3 linked regions of the Rhinolophus ferrumequinum genome follow. The protein of the gene in region 1 purifies or fractionates together with the protein of each later gene. This does not show direct contact. Links are inferred from orthologs where the notes say so. Each region holds a gene or a part of one and is shown in the gene's direction. Other genes may lie near its edges.

The links.
Region 2: the proteins of TRIM47 (region 1) and PPM1A purify together in Homo sapiens (affinity purification with western blotting; 3 studies listed by BioGRID, with this or other methods). This does not show direct contact. The link is inferred for Rhinolophus ferrumequinum from reciprocal best matches to the Homo sapiens genes TRIM47 and PPM1A.
Region 3: the proteins of TRIM47 (region 1) and FBP1 purify together in Homo sapiens (affinity purification with western blotting; 3 studies listed by BioGRID). This does not show direct contact. The link is inferred for Rhinolophus ferrumequinum from reciprocal best matches to the Homo sapiens genes TRIM47 and FBP1.

The regions. Positions count from the first base shown.
Region 1 is NC_046304.1:50,720,915-50,728,318, reverse strand, and holds the start of TRIM47 (E3 ubiquitin-protein ligase TRIM47), read left to right. Parts: upstream 1-4,386; 5' UTR 4,387-4,413; intron 4,414-4,519; exon of another isoform or gene 4,520-4,569; 5' UTR 4,570-4,846; coding exon 4,847-5,527; intron 5,528-6,530; coding exon 6,531-6,626; intron 6,627-6,966; coding exon 6,967-7,197; intron 7,198-7,376; coding exon 7,377-7,404. UniProt on the Homo sapiens protein: E3 ubiquitin-protein ligase that mediates the ubiquitination and proteasomal degradation of CYLD.
Region 2 is NC_046289.1:34,559,842-34,567,562, reverse strand, and holds the start of PPM1A (protein phosphatase 1A), read left to right. Parts: upstream 1-4,688; 5' UTR 4,689-4,806; intron 4,807-5,524; exon of another isoform or gene 5,525-5,924; intron 5,925-6,643; exon of another isoform or gene 6,644-6,734; intron 6,735-7,721. UniProt on the Homo sapiens protein: Enzyme with a broad specificity. Negatively regulates TGF-beta signaling through dephosphorylating SMAD2 and SMAD3, resulting in their dissociation from SMAD4, nuclear export of the SMADs and termination of the TGF-beta-mediated signaling.
Region 3 is NC_046295.1:7,046,315-7,054,083, reverse strand, and holds the start of FBP1 (fructose-1,6-bisphosphatase 1), read left to right. Parts: upstream 1-4,716; 5' UTR 4,717-4,889; coding exon 4,890-5,059; intron 5,060-7,769. UniProt on the Homo sapiens protein: Catalyzes the hydrolysis of fructose 1,6-bisphosphate to fructose 6-phosphate in the presence of divalent cations, acting as a rate-limiting enzyme in gluconeogenesis. Plays a role in regulating glucose sensing and insulin secretion of pancreatic beta-cells.

The DNA.
Region 1 (7,404 bases):
AACTTTTTATACTGTACATACCGGTTTTATACACTCATACGTACAGGTTTTATATACTCATGTATATACATGTATTTCGCATAGAAAGTTTTTTGAAGGATAACATGCAAAAACACATACTCAAAAAAATACAAAATATTTTTAAATCTGTGAAAAATATATCTCCCTCCCACACTGCAGCCTGGCCTCGGTCACTGCCACAGTTGCAAACTCCATCTTGTGGCCTTGCTCCTCTGTAGTGTGGCTCTCTGTTCAAGGAGAGGGCCAGGCCTCTGACTGATGCAGCCTGGGCAAGCAGCTTCCAGTGAGATTCCTAAGGTGAGGACTTCCCCAAACATGAGAAGGGGGTCTAACACTGGGCAGCCCAGCCGAGTGATAGGAGATGGTCGGGACCTAGCTGAACAGCTGGGTCAAGGGCAGGAGCCAAAAGCCCAGCGGGGCAGGAAGCAGGATTGGGCTAGCCAGCTGGCCATCATCGCTGGCTGCCCCAGCATACAGATTCCAACCATCCCTCCTGATCCCAAAGACCCAATGTGTGTCCAGCTGGCTGAGCCCACGCTCTGAAAGGGACAGAGAAAGGAAGACTGGCCCCCTTTCTGTGTCCATGGTGAGAAGCGTTTTGGGTCATTTATTCTATGAATTTACTTTTTTTCAAGTTGTTGGTCCTTTGCATGTTGTTCTGTGGCATGTTCTGTATTGTGACTATTAACCTTTATTTCATATGATGAGATGCTACTGCCATTTTATGGCATGTGCAATGGAACAATGCTTCTCTAGGTGGGGGGACAAGCAGTTACAAATCTCTCAGAAAGGTACTTCACATTAAATTCACTCAGCCCACTTGATTCTGACAGAATTCTCCATCTCCTCTCCAGGAAAAAATGCATTGATATAGAAGGAAAAGGTATGGACTTCAGAGTGTACCATTTGAATAGCCTGTGGGTATTCCCAGCATTTCTGGCCCCCCAACCCCCATTTTCTGGGCTTCTGTGAGAATGGGCACACAGAGCAAGGATAGGGGAGACCAGGAGAGATTTTAAAAGAAAAGGGCCTTAGGTTGGTGGGAGCTGGGTTGGAGGCCAGAGTTGAGGGTGGAGAGGAGAGGCTACTCTTTCCCAGGCAGGAAAGGAAGGAAGGGAGCAGCCTGGCAACTGCAGGAAACATGGTTTCAAGTAACATGGGAATGGAAGCTAGAAGACAATGGAGCCAGGCCTTTGAGATTCTGTGGGAAAAGGATTTCCATTCTAGAATCCCATACCCAGCCAAAGCTGTCAATCAAGGATGAAGCCTGAACAAAGACTTTTGCAGGCACGTCCACATCCATTCTCCAGAAGTTCCCAGAAAAAGGGCTTTTCAAAAATTAAGAAGTAAATCAGTGAAGGGAAAGAAGACCCAGGAACCAAGCAATAGAATTCAACACAAAAGAGAGTTGATAAAGAATCTAAATCTCCAGAAATACAAGCACAACATCCACACAGAGGTTCAAAGCTCCTGAGCACATGCTTTAGAGATGTGGAGATAACAGCTGATAGAAACAGTTAAGAGCTGAGACTGGTTGTCTGTGGGAGCAACAATCTGGAGTAGGTGGGACACGGGACTGTCAGTTTATATTACTGTAAGCCATTAAATTGTTTACTTTTTAAATACTCTAAATATTTTGAAATAAATACAAATCCAATTTTTAAAAGTACATTAAAAGCATAAAAAAAAAATAAAGAAAAAAATAAATAAATAAAAGCATAAAGAAAAAGAAGTGCTGCCGTGGGTTACGGCTCAGGTCCTGTTTCAGTGTCTTTCAGAGATGCAAGCAAAGCTTTGATGGCTTGTCAATTACTCTCATTGGCTGGAGTGCTTTTGCTTGTTTGTTTTTGTTTCTGTATAACTTTTTGTCTTAATTAAGCAAAACTGCAGTCAGACAGGGTCATATATGAGGTTTAGGATTATTTTCAGGTTGCACTTTCTGGGTTTAAATTCTTCCTCCTCTGCAGGACTAGTTATGTGACCTCCGGCAAGATATGAGACCTGTCGGAATTCCATTTCCTACCCTTCACAACACAGTCCTTGCAAGGGCAGAGTGAGATGCAAGCATGAACATGCTCCAGCAGAACTCAGAAATGCCAGTTACGCTAACCCCTCGAGACCCAATTCATTTAAAAAAGAATTAATGGGAACAACTTTAAAGCTATGATAATGGACATGAACTATCAAAATGCCACCATTCTGATGAATTGCAATCTTTCCTGTGGGAGCAGATCTTCCTGAACAGGATGTGAGGTGGGAAGCAGAGGGTTGGCTGGGACTTCCCCGAGAAGCCCCTAATCTGAAAGGCACCCCTCCCCCTCCAGAATCAGGCTGGTTTGTGGTCGCAGCAAGCCCAGGCAGCCTGGCTTCCAAGCTGAGGAGTAGGGTGGCGCCCTTGCCTGAGCCTCTGAACTGTTACTGGGTCTTGGTACAAAAGGGATGGTCATGATCAAGTACTCCTTGTGGAAACCAACGTATGGAAGTCATTATCCGCCTTCCTGCCAAAGCAGGCACACCCAGGCCATCTCCCTCTGCTACTCCTTCTGCCCGAAGATCTTTCCCACCCTCAATTCTGCATGCCTAAGTCCTAGCAGTCTGCGAAAGCCCAGCTCACATGCCACTTCCTCCACGAGGGCCTCCAAAATTCCTCTCCTCCTTTCCCACAAATCCCCCAGGAATAGACTGCACCTCTTTTAATACTTAATAGATCTTAGTTTTCTTTCCTCCTTCCAGGGAGGATGTCAGGAGGCTCTGCATAGCATCTTTCTAAATTAGACATTCTTAACCTGGAGTTCTGGAGGTGGGGGTAGGGGTTGGATTCTGGCTTCATTTTCATGGTTCTCTAGCTGAAATTTAGCATTTCTTTCTATTATGAATGGAGAGGACACATCACAGTGGTGTTAGCAATACCGGTGACTTGTCATCAATAGAAATTACAGATATTTTCATAGCATGTGGCAGTGGTGACAGAGAACTTGAAATAACATGTATGTTCATCACTGTTTAAAAAATACAGTTACTGTTAGGCCCCCATCAGATCTTGTTATTTATTGTGTTAAAGAAACACATATATCACTTTATCACAAAGTTGTTTCCTTAATATTTTGTACCTGTGTTTCAATGTAATTGGTTTCCATGGAATTTTATACATTTAATTTTATGCATTGAAAAGCATTACTTTGAAAAGGGTTCTTTCTGTAGGCTGCACCAGGCTTCAAGAAGCGTCCCGGTGAGAAAGGTAAAGCCCCAACTCTAGATGGATCACCCTTTTATTCTTTCCACTTTGGGGTCTCATCAGCGGGAGGTCCGTGGTCCTCAGGATAGGAAGATTTGCCTCCATTATTCTATATTCTTAAAATAAAGTTTTAATTTTAGAATAGTTATATATTTATAGAAAAGTTGCAAAGATAATCAGAGTTTCCATATACCTCACTCCCAGTTTCCCCTTTTGTTAACACTGTACATGAATGTGGTATACTTGCTTGTCACAATTAAAGAGCCAATATTGATACATTCTCAGTAAGTATATTCCGTAATTTATTCAAATTTCCTTACTTTTTTCCTTAATGTCCTTTGTCAGGAGCCCATCCAGGATACACATCACATTTAGTCGTCATGTCTCCTTAGTCTTCTCTTGGCTGTGAGTTTCTCAGGTTTTCCTTGCTTTTGATGACCTTGACAGTGTCCAGAGGTACTGGTCAGGTGTTTTATAGACTGTTCCTCCACTGGGATCGGTCTGATGTTTTAGTCATAATTGGAATGGGTTTATGGGTTTTTGAGGAGGAAGACCACATCATCTCAAGGGAGCTTACTACCAATAGGACATACCATTGTTGATGTTGACCTCGGTCACCTGGCTGAGGTAGTATTTGTCAGATTTCTCCCCTGTAAAGTTACTCTGTTGCTCCCTTTGGAAGAAAGTTACTATGCACAGCCCACACACTTAAAGAGTGGGAGGTTATCTGCCACCTCGGAGTATCTACAAAAATTATTTGCAATTTTTCTGAATGGGAAATGTGTCTATTCTCCTCCAGTATTTATTTATCCAGTCACTTATTTAGATCAGCATGGACTAACGGATTAAAATGCAGCTTTTTAAGTGCATAGTAAGATGAGTCTTAACAAATGCCTCCACTGAGGCAACCTCCACCCCGGGCGCCAGGCACACCATAGGTGCCCATGAGGGTGCACGGCCTGGAACTGAACTCCTCGGACCAGAGACTTGGAGGGTGACATCAACTTCCCGTTTCAGGTTTAGAAAAGTCCAAGTTCCCCACTCGGGGTAAACAGAGTGCTAAGGGGCAAACACATGCCTACATCAGCAGTTATTTTTCTCTGCACTCAGCAGCTCAGGAGCTTTTCTAACGGCGCAGAGAAGTCTGCAGGACGAAGGTACTGGCTTGACACAGTGGCCTTGGGATCCCCAGGCCTGGCCATGGGTGGGGGAGGGTTGGAGGGGTAACAGAGGGATGAACTCCGTCCCACGGTCCTTCCAGTGTGTCCTCCTTCGCATTCTCTGCCTTCCTCCCTCTCTCACACCCCTTTCAGCAGAGCCCTCCCCTCACACCCGCTGACCCAGGAGGGACCATCGCCCAGGAGCCGCTCGGAATCCGGCGGGGCCCAGAGGAGGCCCGGAACGGACTGAGCTGGGGCCGGGTGTCGGGACCGCCGGGCAGGCCTGTGGCGCTGGGGGGGCGGTCCGAGCCGTGGACAGACGGAGGCCGGACCCTTGGCCTCGGTCCCAGGGGGCGGCGCCGTGGTGGGAACGCTCCGGGTCCCGCCCAGGCGGGAGCAGAACAGGCGGTGCCCGGGTGGCCGCGGAGCCATGGACGGCAGCGGACCCTTCAGCTGCCCCATCTGCCTGGAGTCGCTGCGGGAGCCGGTGACGCTGCCCTGCGGCCACAACTTCTGCCTCGCCTGCCTGGGCACGCTCTGGCCGCACCGCGGCGCGGGTGGCGCCGGCGGGCCCGGAGGCGCGGCCCGCTGCCCGCTGTGCCAGGAGCCCTTCCCCGACGGCCTGCAGCTCCGCAAGAACCACACGCTGTCCGAGCTGCTGCAGCTCCGCCAGGGCTCCGGGCCCGGGCCCGGGCCCGGCTCGGCCCGGGCCCCGTCCCCGGCTCCCGAGCCCGCAGCGCCCAGCGCTCCGCCCAGCGCCCCGGAGCCGTCGGCTCCCTGCGCACCCGAGCCGTGGCCGGCGGGTGAAGAGCCGGTGCGCTGCGACGCGTGCCCCGAGGGTGCCGCGCTGCCCGCTGCGCTCTCCTGCCTCTCCTGCCTCGCCTCCTTCTGCCCCGCGCACCTGGGCCCGCACGAGCGCAGTCCCGCGTTACGCGGCCATCGCCTGGTGCCGCCGCTGCGTCGGCTGGAGGAGAGCCTGTGCCCACGCCACCTGCGGCCGCTCGAGCGCTACTGCCGTGCGGAGCGCGTGTGCCTGTGCGAGGCCTGCGCTGCCCAGGAGCACCGGGGCCACGAGCTGGTATCGCTGGAGCAGGAGCGCACGCTCCAGGAGGTAGGGCTCAGGGAGTGCGGGCCGGCCGGGGCGGGTGACACGCCGCTCGAGCCCGCCCAGGGTCATGGACCTTCCCGGGTTGGGTCTTAACTTCCTCCTCTAACTTGAGGATCATTCCTGTCCCTTCCAGCCCTGACAATGTCATTCCGCTTAAGATGGGATAGGGGGTTAGGGGGACCCAGTGAGAACACAAAAAGGACCCGAAGGGCGGGCAAGGGACCTGAAGCCCCAGCGGGCGGTGCGGATCTAAGGCAGCAAGGAGCCAGGATCTTGGGCGTCTGGTACTTGCAGCGTGGCTGATGCGCCTGCCGGGCTCATGCGGGTCCCAGCTCAGATGTGCCCAGGCCTGAGGCAGGCGGTTTAGATGGGTGTGGCAGGCCACTTGAGCGCGGCTGAGCACACAGACCGCTCTGTCCAGCTGTTCCGGGGGGCCGTGGTTAGAGCATATGCGCGCAGTTGGGCGGGCTGCCTCCTCCCCCAGTTTCCTTTGGCCTCCCGCCCAGTCTTGGCGCCTCAGCCTTGGGATTTTCCGTCTCTCCTGCCTGGAGCGGTGACTCATAAGACCCAGGGGGTTTGCCCGGAATCCCCATTTTTCAAGCCTGGATTGGGGGCACAGAGTCTTTGGGGACAGAGATCCCCAGATCAGCTGATTGCCTCTTGTGCAGCCCCTCTCATTCTGTGCCTCTTCCCTTCTGATGGAAGTTCCCAGATGAATGTGAGCAACACTGAGGACCGTGGATGGCCCTGTACTGGTCCACTGGTCAGAGAAGGGAGGTGGACAACCCACAGCCAGCCTGCATTCTCTCTGGGCATTTGGGAATGGCACCAGCCTGGGCTTGAGGAACCGCTGGCATAATGGGGACATCATGGCCACTCCCAGTCCCACCTGTGCATAGATACCATTCCTGGCTCACTCTCTCCCACCCCTTGGTGAGGCCTGGGACCCCAGTGCAGGGCTGTAGCCTCTGCCAGACCCTGTCCTCATGAAGGGTGTCATCCACAGGCTGAGCAGCCCAAAGTTCTGAGTGCTGTGGAGGAACGCATGGACGAGCTGGGCGCCCGCATTGCACAGTCCCGGCGTACGGTGGCCCTCATCAAGGTCAGTACAGTGGCCCTCAGAAAGGTCAGTACAGTGGCCTCATCAAGGTCAGTACAGTGGCCCTCATCGGGGGCAGACCACACCCTAACCCTGCCCCCTCCTGCCATAGGCTCCTGGCAGTGTCGTGATCCAGTCCAGTCCAAGGAAGCCTGTGCTCAGGGCATTGCCCGGCCCACTGAGCCTGAGCCTCTCCCCTGACTTGACATAGACCCAGGGCAGCTCGAGCTGGACTCTCTGTCTCCCCAACAGGGCAGATTGGGAAAGTGGGGTCTGGGAAGGATGGGGCCCAAACAGTGATGTTCTTTGCCCTCACTGCTGTCCCCACTGTCGTCCTGTGCAGAGCGCAGCCGTGGCAGAACGGGAGAGGGTGAGCAGGCTGTTTGCGGAGGCTGCAGCCACCCTGCAAGGGTTCCAGGAGGAGGTGCTGGGCTTCATCGATGAGGGGGAGGCCACCATGCTGGGCCGCTCCCAGGGCGACCTGCGGAAGCAGGAGGAACAGCGCAGCAGGCTAAGCCAGGCCCGCCACAACCTCAGTCGGGTCCCTGAGGCCGACTCAGTCAGCTTCCTACAGGTGAGAGCAGCTCTTCGGAGCAGAGAGGGAGAGCATGTGGGGTGGGGTGGGGTGGGGGCTAGGCAGGAAGCAGAGGGAGGAGAAGACAGTGGAACCAGACAGTTCCTGGCAGAGCTGTCTCCCCCCAGCTGAGAGGAGGTATGGCCAGCAGGGCCTTACTGGGCATTTATCTGGCACAGGAGCTCCTGGCGCTCAGGCTGGCCCTGG
Region 2 (7,721 bases), on another chromosome or scaffold:
TCAGGGGGATCACTCTTAAATTACATAAATGTGTAATCACTATGTTGCACACCTGAAATTAATCTAAAATAATATTGAATGTCAACTGCAATTGAAAAAAAAAATCACTGGAGAACTTTTTTCTCAAATGAATGAATGAATGAATGAATAAATAAATAAATAAAATTATCTTCTCTATAATTCCCATAAATTGGTTCTCATTGTACTCAGCAAAAGACAAAGGGATTTTGTTACCTTTTTTCTCTGATGGAGCTCTAGTTTGTCTAGTTCCTGCAAGAAAATAAAATGCATATTAATATCTCTGTATTTAATTGCTCTAAGCTTAAAATGATTTCATTATTCAGTTATTGCTTTTACCATAAATTATTGCTTTTACTGTTCTTTCTTAAAAGTAACAATCAAGATAAAGATTAAAAGTAAATTTAAGTACTGAACAAATCCCTCAAATATTTAAAGGATAAGATCAGTTCATATCTGACCATGGCAGCTTTTCTGTAGGCAAAGGATCTGTTTTGGTGATTAACTATTTAATTGGAAGTTTACATGATTTAATTTTTTAATAATGGCTGTGTATAACAAATAGCTGACAAATTCCTAAAAATTTAAGTCTGTTCTCATGAGCTAGTACAAGCAAGCTTCATACACCACAACATGCACTTTCCACTCCTTGACTCTCTTTGCTGCTTTTTTACTGGCATGTAAGAGTTAGGAATGATCAGCAGAATACAGGGGAGAACGTGTCATTACTTTTGGTGATTCTGGATAGTTGCTAGCCCTCTGACACTGAGTTTTCTCTTCTGTTAAAGTTGAGAACAACAGTCCTTGCCCTGTCTACCCACAAGAGTTGTTGTATTAAATCGGTTGGCCTATGTGGCAGTGCAGAGCGAGATATAGAAAAAAGCCTTTATGATGATGGTCATTTCATCATTGGTTTTCAACCAGACCACCATTGTTAAGGATGCAAAATGTGTTGCAACTTTCAAAAGTGTGGTTTAGTTTGAGATATTCTTTGATACCCCCATTAGACAGTAAACACCCAGAAAAAAATATGTTCTCAAGAAGTCCAAACTATTGCTAGTCTTTACTCATTAAGAACAGCTATCTATATTGGGGGGGGGGCACATTTTTTTCAAAGCTCATAGTTTACTCAACTCTAGCTGCTGTTGGATTGTCTGAAGAGAACAATGGAGTGGTGGAATGCTTCTTAACTTCAGTAGTTACATAATGGTCCTTTCATTTTTAATTTTTATTTTTCAAGCTGCTTTGCTTTTTGGGCCAGACCAATTCACTATGTTATTTTGAATGGGTTGTGCCCTTCTGCTCAAGGTGGTTTCCTAATTGTAAACTGGATTAAGTATCCCAAATATCCTAAGTTGGAATTCTAAACTTGAGCGACTTTATAAAATATTTGCCTCGAGTTTGTTGAACTTCTCTTTGGTCTATAGACAATTCTATAGACAATTCTTTGGTCTATAGACAGGCTCTTTCCCACATCAAACTTGTGCTGATTGCTTTGCCTGGAAAGCTCTCCTCTGATTCTTCGCAAAGCTGACTCTCATCCTTCACCTCAAATGCTATCTTCTTAGAAAGGTCTCCTCTGAACATTTGTTTCAGGTCATCTCCCTGATCTAGTTCCTTATTTATTTCGTTTACAACACTGATCACAATCAGCAATTTCCTTATTTGTTTATTTCTTTGTCTGTAGCCCTCATTATAACATACATGATATTATAATGCTGGGCCTTTCCCTACTGGTGTCATTATCTACCTTCAGCACCCAGCACAGTACCTGGCACCCAATATAACTCTCTGTTGAACAGATGAACTTGTTTGATAAGAACCATACCAACATTAAGGCTGTGGCCATATACAGTTCTCTTGAGGCAAGAGTCTACCCTAAAGACTCTCCAAGGCTTGGCCTGTGATGCTCGTGGTGACCCACATTTCTCTCAGGGAACAGCGTGAGCCCGAATGGCAGCAGAAGACTGCTGACTTTCTTCTGCCCCATCCTAATGGGGCTGCCTTAGTGATGTCACATAGGACAGGATTCTCTAATCCTTTTCATTCTGTGACAGTCCTTTAGACAGCTAAGTTTTTCATGACTTGATATGGTGTGTGTGTGGGGGGGGGAATGAGGACTGAGGTGGGGGGGATACACCCCCCCCACAACAAAATTAGTTTAAGGGCATTATCCACTCATATGTATTGCTTCAAGAGAAAGTAGGTAGCAGAAACTGTAATTTGGGTTAAGCTAAGGAAAAGAGAGAAAAGAAGAATGGGGAAAAGGGTAAAGAAGATGAAAAGAGACCAGAGGAAAGAACGAAGAGTGATTAAAAGAAAAGGGAGAAGAGGACGGAGGAAGAGGATGTTGGTGAGAAAAAAACATGAAATAGGTAATGATGGAGGAGGAGGAAGACGGGGCCGAATCTATGTTCTGCTTGGCTTTATAACTCTTGGGTAATGACTGGCTTCAGTGTGAAAGGATTGAATGGCTCAGGTTAGGGGGAGTCTCAGGTATTCTCCTGAGGGATCACTTAAATTGCTGAGATTTCTTTTGAGAGGTGTAAGCAAGACTGTCTCAGGGGTAACTCTCTTGGGTGGATTCAGAGTAGTAATTCGGGAATCAGGAATGTTAACCTTTTCTTTAAATCATGATTGTGGAAGAAAAGAGGAGTGAGTATTACTGATGGACTAAGCTTTAGACTTCTCACTGCAGTTCCAATCCTCATCCCACTCCTCCCAATTACTAGGCTAATAGCGTACAGTTAAATTTAGGACTTGAAAGCCAATCTTTCAGAAAATCATCTTTCTCTTTGGTAATTGAAATACCAACAGGTGTCCAAACCAGAGTAAGATAGTTTTAGAATATACCTATAAAAATTATTAAAAACAATTATGGCAGCACATTCCACTGATGTTTCATAAAAACTAAGAACATTGCTAACATGTGTAGGCCAAAGCAAAGCCTTGTAGTTCAAAAAGAAAAGAAAACTTTTAGCTCTCTTTTTCGATGTCCTTTTCCCCCTCTCTACATAGTTAAGTTTTTTGCCCTTAGTATATTATTTAGGGAGTATTTATTATAATATTTAGAGAAAAAATATTTAGTATAGCAATAAAGAAGGGGATATTATAATATCGGGCTTATTTATCCAGACACCATTAAAAATATTTGTCCCCAATTTTAAAATGTTAATCTTATAATCTCTGAGTTTCCTACTTTATACCAAAATGTCCCTGCAAGCTGTATCCAGAAATAAGAAAGAGAGGAAGGTGTAACTTTATCAGTAGTCTGTGGTACACTGTGCAGACTCCTTAAAAATCTCTTTACTTTCATATTTTCTATTTTTCTACCTCTTCTGCTACAATTGACCCAGATTCTTCTACAAGTATAGAGCAGAGAGAAGAAAGGTATGGGTGCCTAATAGAAGGAAGCAGAAAGCCAGGCAAGACCTTCAAGATCAACACCACTACTGCCATTGGCAACCCTAGTTCTGCCTTACGAATAAGAAATTTTGTTTTCTAAGACACTCCAAATAGTGTTTGCCACATGGGCTTTTCTATTTTGGAATGGTAATGAGTCCACTAGCATGCTAATCATGCTGCTACTTGTCTGAAGTATTAAGGATTCCAATAAGGCAGAGTTTCAAAGATCTTTGATCTAATAATGTTCCTTTTTTTTTTTTTTTTTGGCACGTGTGTACAGAAGTAATTAGGAAATGTGTCCTCACATGATACTGGGACCAAATGCAGAAGTGAATTTTGTTTTTACTTTGTATATCTCAAAATGATCTATCTTCATCTTACTGGAAGAAATTCTAACCCAAATATATTATTGGGTAGAGTGATTGTTTTGAGTTCCTTGAAGATTTTGGCCTGCCAGTGACCTTTTGGTGGTAGTTTGTTAGGTCCCAGGGCTAAAAATGAAAGGAACAGAATCTTCCCAAGAATGTCATGTTGAAGAAACTGGAGATGGCTTCTACAAATTTAAAAGCAGCTAAATGTTTGCTGGTGGCAGAAAGACAGAATAAATAGGATGCTTTTGATCTAAGAGCTGGGGCAACAGAGTGGTTTTAGGAGATACAAAGTAGCAGGGTATAATTTGCTACAGTAAGTTCCTGAGATAAAATGGAGAGGCCTTATCATAAATTTAGCTTTTTATTTGTCAGAACACAATTTGGCTAATATTTTCCTGTGTTCTTTTTAAAGTACCTGCCTCCTACAATGAAGTATGTGTTTTTCCTTAGTGTATACCAGATAAATTTTTTTTTAACACGGATTTTTCTTTTAAGTTACGTTCCTGCAAATGTGGTGTAGGTCAAATCCATGAACAGGTTAAGCCTTTGACAAGGGAAAGGCACCCCAGCCAATGGGAACCCGTGCTGGTGATGTACTGCTCCCCAGTTCTGATTCATTGGCCTGCTAGCGTTTGTCATTCTATCCCCGGCGTCTGCAAACCGCGTGGGTCGGGTTTTCCGTAGTCTAGCTAGCTAAACTGGATTTTGGCCTCCTGCACGTGCAGTTTCAATTAGGTTTAGTTGATCTCTAACTTTTCATACAAGTAGCTGTTAATGTTTCTGATTATCCCACAGATTTTGAAAAATCCTCCGTTCCTTTAACCTCACTGGAGGTCGTTGGAGGTCCCCTGTGACAGAATCATGTGACTGTAACAAGTGAAAATAAATACAATGTGGGATGCCACGAGCTACAGCTACACAGAAAACCTGCCAGGAATTCAGCATGTGCCCTGTGCGTGTATGTAGGTGGGCGGCGGCAGGCTGCGTGTGTTGCTGCCCTTCGGGACGCGAGGTGTGTGGCTGGGGCACTTGAGTGGTCCTCCCGAGGTCACTGGGGGAGAATGGCTCTGGAACCGTAGGGGCCCTGGGGGAGGGGGTCTGGCGGCGGCCTGGGACCCAGCGCGCGTTTGAGCTGCAGCAGCCAGGAGGCGAACAGTCCGCGACTGTGCCCGAGAGAAGTGGAAAGAACTGGGTCGGTCCTCGGGGCTCTGTGGAAAGCGTCTCCGCGGGGATTGGGTGTGTATTTGTAGACAGGTGGCAGCGCCGGGACAAGAGACGCGGACGCCCTAGGGGGTGCTTCCGAGCCCTGGCTCGGTAGACTGCAGGGGTTGGAGAGCTCTCCATTCCCCGGGATCCTAACAGTCGCACACTGTCCAGCTCCCGGCGCCGGGGCTCAAGGTCCCAGTCGCGGTTCCGATCCGGGATTTGGATGCTCCCTTCGGCTTCGGCCTGGGGCCCCGGCCGCTAGGCTGCCGAGACGAGAAAAGCTGGGTAGGGCAGTGGCGTCATCTGCGGCCGCTCCTCCCCCGCCAGCCGCCACTCGCCGCAGTTCCTGCCCAACGACATCCGGGTCTCTCCTGCTGCTCCGTCGCGCCTCAGCTGTAGCGGCGGCGAACCCGGAGGGGCGGGGTGGGGCGGGCGGAGGAGTGGGGGTGGGGCAGCACGGCGCCTTCGTGGGCGCGCCTGCGCGGGGACGCGCTCGAGGCGGCGGCGGCGGCGGCGCTGCTAGGGGCGGGAGCGCGCGCGGGAGCGAGGGAGCAGTGGTCTCGGCGCCGGCGGGGCCCGCAGCTTCGGGTGCTCGGGCGGCTGCAGCTCAGGAGCGGGTGGTTGGGGAGGGGGGGTGGGGGGGCTCCAGGCAGGTGGGGCGCGAAAGCAATGAATCTTTGGCTCTTCCTCCTTCTCCTCCGGGACCCGCTCTCCGCCTCCTGTTCCAACGCCTGGATGATCTGAGCCGCGAGGGCGCCGAGAGCGGGGGCCCGGACGCAGCCCGGCTCCTCCCCTCGTCCGCCCCCTCCCCTGCCTGACCTGGCCGGCCGCAGCCGTGGTGACCCCTTTCCCGCCCCCTCCCCGGCCGCCGTCGCCGCCGCCGCCTCGGCCGACCAGGGACCTGCCCGCCCGCGGCTGCTCCGGGTAAGCGCGACGCATGGGCCGAGGGCGGGCGGCCGGCGCGGGCCTGCGCGGCGGCAGTGGCGGCCAGGCCTGGGGCCTGGGGCCTGTAAACAAGCCAGGCGTCTGCCCGAGCGCTCCCGGGAGGAGACGCGACAACTCCACCCCCTGGCCCGGCCTCCTCCCCGGAGCCGGGCGACGGACGGCTAGGGGTTAACGCTCCGCGAGGGCGGTGGCGGGGAGGCGGGGGCGGGGTGTTTGTGCGGCGGCGCGGGGAGGGGGCGCGACCCTCTGGCCGCCTGCGCCGGGTTGGGTGTTGGTGGCGGCGACGCGGACGAGGGCCGCAGGCCGGCCTGGCCCTAGAGCGGCCGGTGGAACTTTTCCCGGGAGGGGAGTGGGCTCCCGGCGCCCCCACCCTCCGGGCCGCGCCTCCCTGCTCTCCAACCCCTGGGAGGGCGACCGGGAGAAAGAAGGGGGGAGGCTTCCTTTGGACCGGACTTAGCCTCGAAATAGCAAATTGTGTAGAATTTGCTTCAGATTTTATAGGGGGCAGAACTGAGAGTGAGACTCCTTGAGAACTCAAGCCAGTGATGCCTCCAATTCATTCATTATTAAGGCATCGAACAAATCCATTGAAGTAAAATCACACTGATTTCTTCGCCTGGTCTTTTTAACCGTGTAAATGTGTGGGTAAAAGTTCTTGATGTTAGTTTCGTTGAAGTATGGTTTTGTTCTGTTTGTAGATTTGAAATAATTTATTGAAAGAGAACTGACTGTGGAGAGCCTTCTACCAACTGCAGTTTTAGATACGTTTTGAAAATTTCACTACCTGAGGTATTTTTCCTTTTCCTCAAGCAACTCATGGTACTTAACAAATCCACAGAGGTCACAACTCCTGCTGTCCAAGCCAGGAAATGTATGCACCGCCCTCACCCCCAATCCTGTTTTCTGCTAATTGGAATAATGAGCCGAATGCCTTTTAAGAAATTATTGGAAGAGTATGGGAGGTGTAAAAAAAAAATCTGTGGGTGATAGGTATTCTTTTCCCAAAGTAAATTATTTTGACATTAAAAGATTAGAAATCTAAAAAATTGTTTTGAAAAAAAGGCTTAATCCTTTCAAACTTGCAAGTTGGGATTTTAAACAACCACTTTTTAGATGCAAAGAGCTCTGAAATGTCAGCGGATTTATTTATTTAAACACTACTGAGTCTTACCGGTTCCAGAGCTCTCAGAAGTCCAGCAGGGCTTGCTCCCCAACTCTAACTAGAACAACCTCACTTTTATAGTTTTATATTTTTACCTAACTGGCCTTTGCCAAAGATTGTATTTCTATAATACACATTAGAATACTGACTAGGAAGATAGTGACCCACCCTACGGTCTGTTTTCTAATCATAGATGTTAACTTTATGGATTTAATGTTTCCTTTGCTAGCAAATAATTTGAAGCACAAAGTAACATTCCTTGCCTGATGTCACAGTTCTGTTCTGATGTGTAATTCCCATATATCTGATTAAACATCCAATCATGTAGTGATGATTACTTTTAACTTGCAAGTTAGAACAATTCTGCATCAAAACTATAATGAACTGCCCATGGAAGTTGCTTAAGACATTTTTTTATTTAATATAATTAAACATTTTTCACATCAGTGAAGTCATTATGGGCTAGGTATATTAAGACTGGTAAAGTTTGGCTAGCTACCGTAGTATATGTTTGAGAAATAACATGGTTGAATGCTGCAGTCAGCAAATTTTTTTTTACGTGTGTGTGTGTGTATTTTAACACGGATTGTATCTGTTTATATTTTAGTTTGAAG
Region 3 (7,769 bases), on another chromosome or scaffold:
AGCGTGATGACACACAGAGGAAAGGAAAGCCAACAGATGCACAGACAGAACCCTGCCTCTCACCCCAGTTCTAGTCTTCTTGGCTTATTATAGTGGATGCTGTGACATGCCACCTAGTTCCTCACCACAGGCGAAGAACCTGTTCTCCAGCTCCTGGGACTATTGCTTTGCAGAAGAGAGCCACCTAGTCCATGGCATGCCCCTTCTCAGGGCAGCCTGTAGCTAGTGACTGGTTGGCATGTGGATATAAGCTCTGTCCCCCTGGCTCCAACTCAGGACAATTCTGAAGGGTTGTCCCAGCTTCAGAGATCCCAGCAGGGCTGGCTGAGCCCTTTGTTACCACCGAACCATGACTCAACATCCCCCTCTGCCCCATCCTGCTGCTGCAATAATCAGCCTGTTCCCAGTATTATCAGCAGGAGTAAGAAAAAAAATTAATTTTTTAGGTAGGAGAATGGACCATTGCAACATGGGGTGGAGCAGATGGAGGAGAGCAGGAGTCATAGAAATAGAACAGGGAGTGGCAAGAAGTCAACAGGTCCAAAGCAAGAGGGGAAAAACTTTTAAAACCTTGCCACATGAGGAACAGTTAAAGGAAGTGAAAGTATTTAGTGGAGAAGTAAACATTTATGAGAAATATGACAGCAGCCTTCACATACTGAATAGACAATCAAGTAAAAGCTGGATTAAACTCGTTCTACTGGGTCTCCCCTCTTCTGCTTTGATCCCCTACAGTCCATTCTCACACGTTTAGATCAGGTCATATTACTCTCCAGCCTAACATCGCCTAGTGGCTTTTCACTACACTGTGAAGAGAAACTGAGTGTCTTGCTATGATGTGCAAGGTCTTTCCTAATCTGGGCCTTGCCTTCCTTCCCAACTTCATCTCTTATGGCTCTTTCCTCATCCATCCTTCTAGCCACACTGGCCATCTTCTTGCTATTCCTTGAATATATCAGCTCATTGCTACCTCAGGGCCTTTGCACTTGCTGCTCTCTTTGCTTTGTCTTCTATATGTTCTTCTATGAGCTCTTCACTTGTCCCATTCCTTTTGTCTTATATCAGAGGTCATTTCCTAAGAAATCTTCTCCTGATTAGTTTCTACCTCAATGCCCTGTTTTATGTTCTTCGTAGCAATCTTTGTTCCCTGAAATGGTTTTGTATCTTTGTTTTATTATGTGATTCTGTTTCCTAATTATCTCTCTCACAAAGAATGTAAGCCTCACGTGGACAGAGATGTGTCTGTCTTGTATACAGGCTCAGCCAGCCCTGCCAGAACCTCTGAAGCTGAGATTACCCTTCAGGGTTGTCCTGAGTTGGGGCAAAGAAGCCAGGACTTACATCCCTCTGTCATAACCTCAGCACGTGATATGATTTTGGCACAGAGCAGGTGCTCAATAACTATTTGTTGAGTGAAAGAATGAATGAACACAGGCTTAAGAAGTAGCCCTAGAGTTAATGGGTGACAATTCAGAGAGCATATTTTTTTTTTTTGAAGCTGCTGTCAGCAGGCTCAGAGCCTCACCATGGAGGCCACTGCCACCCAGCAGGGAACCAGCAGGCTGGTGGCAATGTGGGGATTGGAATCAGACTAGGATCTGAGTCTTGGCTCTGCCACTTCCTGGCTGGCCACAGGCCTGGGACAAGTTCTTTGACCTTCCAAAGCCTTAGTTCCTTCATTGGTAAAGACAGGAGCATGAGTACACCACGTCATTGGGTGCTGGGTTGGTTAACCTTTTCACTGTGTTAATTCATTACAAGTTTGTTCTCCAAAATGTGTCAAAAATCCACAGAAAATAACTACAATATTTATATTTTTAAGTAATACAGTTAAGGTGCTACATTTTATTAAAATAAATGATTATTTTAAAATGCAAAAATTTCTTATTGTTATTCATTCTTGAAAAACACAAAAATATAGAAAAATGTACATCTGCTTTCCTAAACTTCCTTTCTGGAACCCTGAGCTCGTGTGGGAAAGTCGAATGCCATAGTTAGCGGCATGGAAATATCATTTGACTATAGACGAACGTCGCAGCGAAAATGTTTTAAAGCAAGTGCTGGACATTGAACAAGTGCTAAATAGGTGTTAGCTCTACAGCTTGGCTGTTTAGTTTCTGCTGCTTAAGAGATGACAGGTCCTATCTCCATTACTGGCAAGGGGCCACTGAGGCCACAGGAGCTGGGGACTCACCTAAGAAAGTGCCGCTACCGTCCCTCTTTGAACAGCCACTTGGTACCTCTTTCCCTGTCACACTCACTAACTACTAACTGCCCTCTTGGGGGGCGGGGGGGGGGAGTAAGCAGAAGTGACCTGGGTTCAGGGGTGGGAGTGGGGAGGTGAGTGATCATTCAGACTTACTTCTCAACTTCCTGTCTCTGACACAAACCAGAGCTGATCTCCTGGGGTCAGAGCCCAGTGAGGAAAAGGTGGTCATTATTTCTTCGCAGGACAGAGCTGTTACAAAATGGGTAATATTGCACACAGTACTCAAAATCTGCACTATTGTGTGAATTGGAGTGTGTTTTGTGATGAGAGAGGAGGGGAAATATTGTAGCCAGCAAGGAGCAACTGTGCAGTGGGGATGGGTGGAGGTGGGAGGGAGAAATCCCATGTGTGGAGGTGCCCGCCTTCCTCTGGTCCAGCATCTTCCTCCCTGTCTGGCTAATCCCAGGTGATGGGTTTATGCATTTTGACCCTGAGAAGAGCTAGTCACAATCACTGTACATGATGGAGGAGACATAATTGCACCACAGGTAAATACAGGTAGAGGCTATCCATGCCCATGCCCCTTCAGCCCCTTTCTGATGGTAAGAGAGCTTTCTTCTGTTCAGATAAAAATAACAGTCGACACTACCCATATAATGGAGGAAACACTTACGTAGAATGTACTGGCCTCGGTTCTTAAACAATTCATGTGCATCGCTTGTGTAATCCCATGAGGTGGCCACAATTTTTAGCCCCGATTCACAGATGAGTAAAATGTTGCCCAGCAGGGTCAGTAACTTGCACAGACTCACACCCCAGTGAGGGACAAGGCCAGGACTCTAAACCAGGATTTCTAGTTGCAGGGTCTCTGCACTTGACCAGCACTGTGAAGTGACCTATTCCTAAAGGGACGGTTTGCCTTGTGGGTACTGGGCTCCCCATCCCGGTGGGTGACAGGCATCAGTAATTAAGCCAGACGGAGGTGACAGGCATCAATTACTAAACTAGACAGAGGTCTGTTCCTTGTATCTGGTGTGTCCTCTGTGTCAGGCTCAGAGCTGAGCACTTTGCCAAAGTCATCTCATGTCATGCTCATGCCACCTCTGCCAGCTAGAACAATAATCCCACTTATGGATGAATAAACTGGGATTCGGGAGATTGTGGAACGACTGAGGTCTCTAGGCTTCTGAGGGCTGAAGCAGGGAATCTAGCACGCCTGCTCAATCCCAATCTTGAGCTCTTCACGTCTTACCAGGGATGATTTCCAAGGGATTAAACTTCAGGAGGGCAGAGGTGGACTAGTCAACTGTTACAGTGCTGGCTGATCTGAGATCCCGAGGGACTAAATGTCTGACACATAAAGGGGCAAACTCTTGAAAAGAGCTGCTGTAACTAGTTGCTAGGCCAAAAATACAAGTCATTACATTTCAGATTTTATAGTTAAGGAAATATTTCTCTTCCAAGGCTTCCTTCCAACTGTGGCCTCCTGCCCCTGTCCCAGCCCCCTGCCCTCTGTTCTATCCATCCCTGCTTGGCCTGTCAACTGGCTTTTCTGGCAAACCGAAGAAGAGAATTTCCCTGTCCCTCACCTGTCTGATGGTCCATGTCTGGATCCTTAGTTCAGGCCTCTTCTCAAGATTCCTATAATTCGAGAGCTCCTGGGAGACCTTAGTTTCCAATATGTGCATTTTACAGAGAAAACAGTGTCAGCAGACACAGGGAAATATCTCCAAGATTCTACACTGAGGCCAGAAGCTCAGTATCCCGTTTCCTGACCATCATTTTGTGGCCACAATGCTGTTGTCCTAAGGCAGTTCAGGCACTGATTCATGGAACACATTTATTGAGCACCTACTATGTGCCAGGCACTGTCCTATGCACTGGGGATAGAGCCTGAACAAAATAGATAAAACACCTGACTTCTTTGCTGTAGATGGGGCCAGCGATATGAGACCTGAAAACTGAGGACTGGATTCAGTCACGGGGACCTGGCTGGTGTGTTGATGCTGGTTCCCAGGGTTGTCAGATGGGGACCTCTGGATGAAGGCAGGTGGTGGTACTACCAGGAAAAACGGCTACTGTCTCTTCATAGCCCAAGGAGACATTGATACCACTGCAGAGAGAGCAGACCTTTTAACGGTCCACTTAACTGTCAGTGACCAGCTGTGCTACGCTGAAGTTCTGTAACCTTCAAGACTTCCGTTTTATGTTGGGGGGGGAATGGTGAACTCTCTCCGTGACAGGTCGTTGCAGGGACTGAAAGTGGTAACGCAAGTGGCCCACAGCAACGTCCACAATGCCAGTGGTCGTCTTCAGCGGGCGCGGAGGCTGGTTGGGCAACAGCGAAGGAAGTGGAGGTGGTGGCGAGGGCCAGAGGTGGGGACAGCGAGGCTGGAGGAGGAAGGAAGATGAGAAAAAGTTCCGGACGTCCTGTGGATGGAGCGGGCCAGGCGCCAAGTTGGAGGGGGCGGGGCCGGCGCGGAGGTGTTCCCGAGGCGGGGACCTTGACCCGGCGCCTATAGGCTCCCCCCAGGACACACCGGCGGGGACTTGTCTTGGGCCAGTCACTCTCCGAGCAGTGCGATTCCGCCGCAGTGATCTGTGCTCCCACCGAGTGCGCGGTGTCCTGCCTCGTCCCTGCCTGCACCTGCCGCCCAGCGCGCAGCAGCCCGGCCCCAGCATGACGGACCACGCGGCCTTCGATACAAATATCGTTACCCTGACCCGCTTCGTCATGGAGGAGGGCAGGAAGGCCCGCGGCACCGGCGAGATGACCCAGCTGCTCAACTCGCTCTGTACCGCGGTCAAAGCCATCTCCACGGCCGTGCGCAAGGCTGGCATCGCGAACCTGTGAGTCAGGCCTCAGACAGCCAAGTCTCATCCTGTCTGTCTGTCCCGCTGGGGATGTGACTGGCAGCCTGGTGCCTGGTCCTCTGGCACTCCTGCTGTCAGCCTGTCTGTGACAGCTGAGAGTCTCTCCCTTCCTCCCTTTCTCCTCTCTCTCTCTCTCTCTCTCTCTCTCTCTCTCTCACAGGTTTGCCCAACTGCACTCAAGCCTCTCTCTTAAACTTGGAGGTGCCCACCGCCTGGGGGGCCTGTCTTCCTGTCCACCCTGCCTCCATCCTGCAGCTCGCTCCCCGGGGCTTAGCAGCATGCCTTGGCATCTCTCTCAGTCTCCTGGTGAAGCTGTCTGGTGAGGTGGGTACCTGCCCGCTGGCCATACCCATCCTAGCCTCACACAAAAAGTGCTGGCGCAGTGCCTTCTTTTCTCTTTCTTTTTTTTGACCTCCTCCATTCTCTATGAAATTGGGGTTCCAGGTAGAGTTTCTAATCTAGTATGTCCTTCGGCATAAATAAATCTGTTAGGAGCCAGGGAGCTCCCAGGCAGGCTGAAAGGAAGCCTGCACTCCCAGAGCTCTCAGGAGCAGCAGTGCTCTGTGCAAAGGGTGCAGTAGGTCTGGTGGGGCCTGAGACAATGCATTTCTAAGAAGTTCTTCTGTGGTAGGTGGAACCCATGCTGCAGGTTTGCAGATCACCTTGTATGTAGCAGAGGAATCACGGGACATGGGGATTCAAAGGGCATATTCTTGTGAGGCCTTTGTAAGCAACACAAATACCCTTTGATTTATTCTGGTGTGCACAAGGGTTTTGTAGTTATTTGGTCTTCACTTTAGCTGCAGGGTACCTGGATTTTCAGGTTGCCCCTATTTTTTCCTAACATTTCCCATTCAGGGACACTATAAAAATTGCACATGATGCTTATAGCTGATCTGAAAAATTATAACCTCTGCAATCTGGCTTCCTTTACTGGTAAGTTATTTGGCTCTGGTCCCACAGCACGGGTTGATGGAGTTGACTCTTAAAGAAGGAGTGTCCAGCAGGGGGTAGGCCTGGCTGGAAGAGGCATTGAAACAGGTATGTTAGGAACCTGGTGACTCCATCACTATTTCACCTATGGCGCCTCTTAATAATACATTTCTAAGAAGCCATTGCTTTAGGAAACACACTCAGTTAAACTCTTACTTCACATTTAATTTACAACAAGTAGAGGTGGCCTCACAGCTTTGCCTGTGTCTGGGAACCAGAGGGCTTTTAAAATAAAGAGCGCTTGTCACTTCCTGTATTATTTTTAAAATGTGTCAGTACCTTTCACAACTCCAAAGAAACTTGGAAATGACAGATCTGCTTTGAGGTGTATGTTTCCCACCTTTTAAGAAACCTCAGCGCCTTAGTGGGACTGTGGGACCCTTAGTGATCGTGGGACCTGGACAAAGGGCACTAGCATTGGCGATGTAAAATACGTATCTCTGTAGACTAGATAGTTGTGAATGCCAGGTTTAAAAAATATTATTGTTGTTATCATTGTAAACTGCTTAATAAGTTGTACTCATTGATGAAAATTCAAGGCACTCAAAAGAGCACAAAGGGAAAGGTGAAACTCACCTCTATCCATTCCCTGGATAGAGGGAATGATGTAGGAATATTTTCCTGTGAGTCCCCAAAAGAAGGAGGACTATGTCTTTGTGAATCCCCAAATGATGTAGATGATGTTGGATCTGCTGGCAGTTTCTGGGTGTAGGCCGGGATCGTGTCTCATGAGAATGGAAACACAGACCCAGGAGAGGCAAAGAGTTTTAAAAAGAGGATGGTTTATTGAAAACAAAGAGTCAGAGCTCCGGAGCGGGAGGGGGACCCGAATAGGGGTGCCCCGTGACTGAGGCAAGTGCTCTTACTTTTATACCTTCCCTTGTCTGCTTGGGGAAGGGGGACTGGTGCTTTCTAATGAAATTCGTCTACCAGGTTTGCTCTGCTTGCCCAGCCTGAAGGAATTAGCAAAATAACCCTCTCTTATCTCTCAGATCTCCTCTGTTTGTCAGGCCAAAAGGAATTTTATGATTAACTTCAAGGCCTTGTTACATTTTGTCCTGGAGTGAAGGAGCGGTTTCAAAACCTGGAGTTTCAGGATATGGCTGTCTTTGTTTATTCCACCAGGGAACTCCCTGTCTACCTAGGGACATGCTAGCTTACCTGTCTCACTGCCTGAGTACTTGACTGGTTACTGAGTACTTGACTGCGTACTTGACTGGTAAGTTTATACATGGATATGTATTGACATATGTTCATATGTAAATAGCAAACAAAATGGGATCACACTTAACATATTCTTCTGCAGTTTTTTTTCATGCAACCATATATAATGACCATCCTTTAATGTCAGAACATGTAAATCCACCTCCTTTGTTTTCACTGCTGCCTAGTGTTCCACTGCACGGACATATTGCAAGCTGTTTTACTCTTCCCCTATGTTAGCACATTTCACACAGCGTGTACTCGTGGAACACGCCTGGTCATGTGGGCTGGTGGTGGGGAGGACCAGAACTCAGACACTTAAATACTTAAGCACTCCTGTGGGAAAATAAGAGTTTGGCTGTCTCAGCATGACATACAGCTGGAGTGGCAGCAATAAGACAAGATCTCAAGTCAGGGCTCCAAATTACATTCATTATTGGCTTTGATGTCCTCCATGCAAAGGCTAGCATGCCTGCAAATAGCTTGTTAG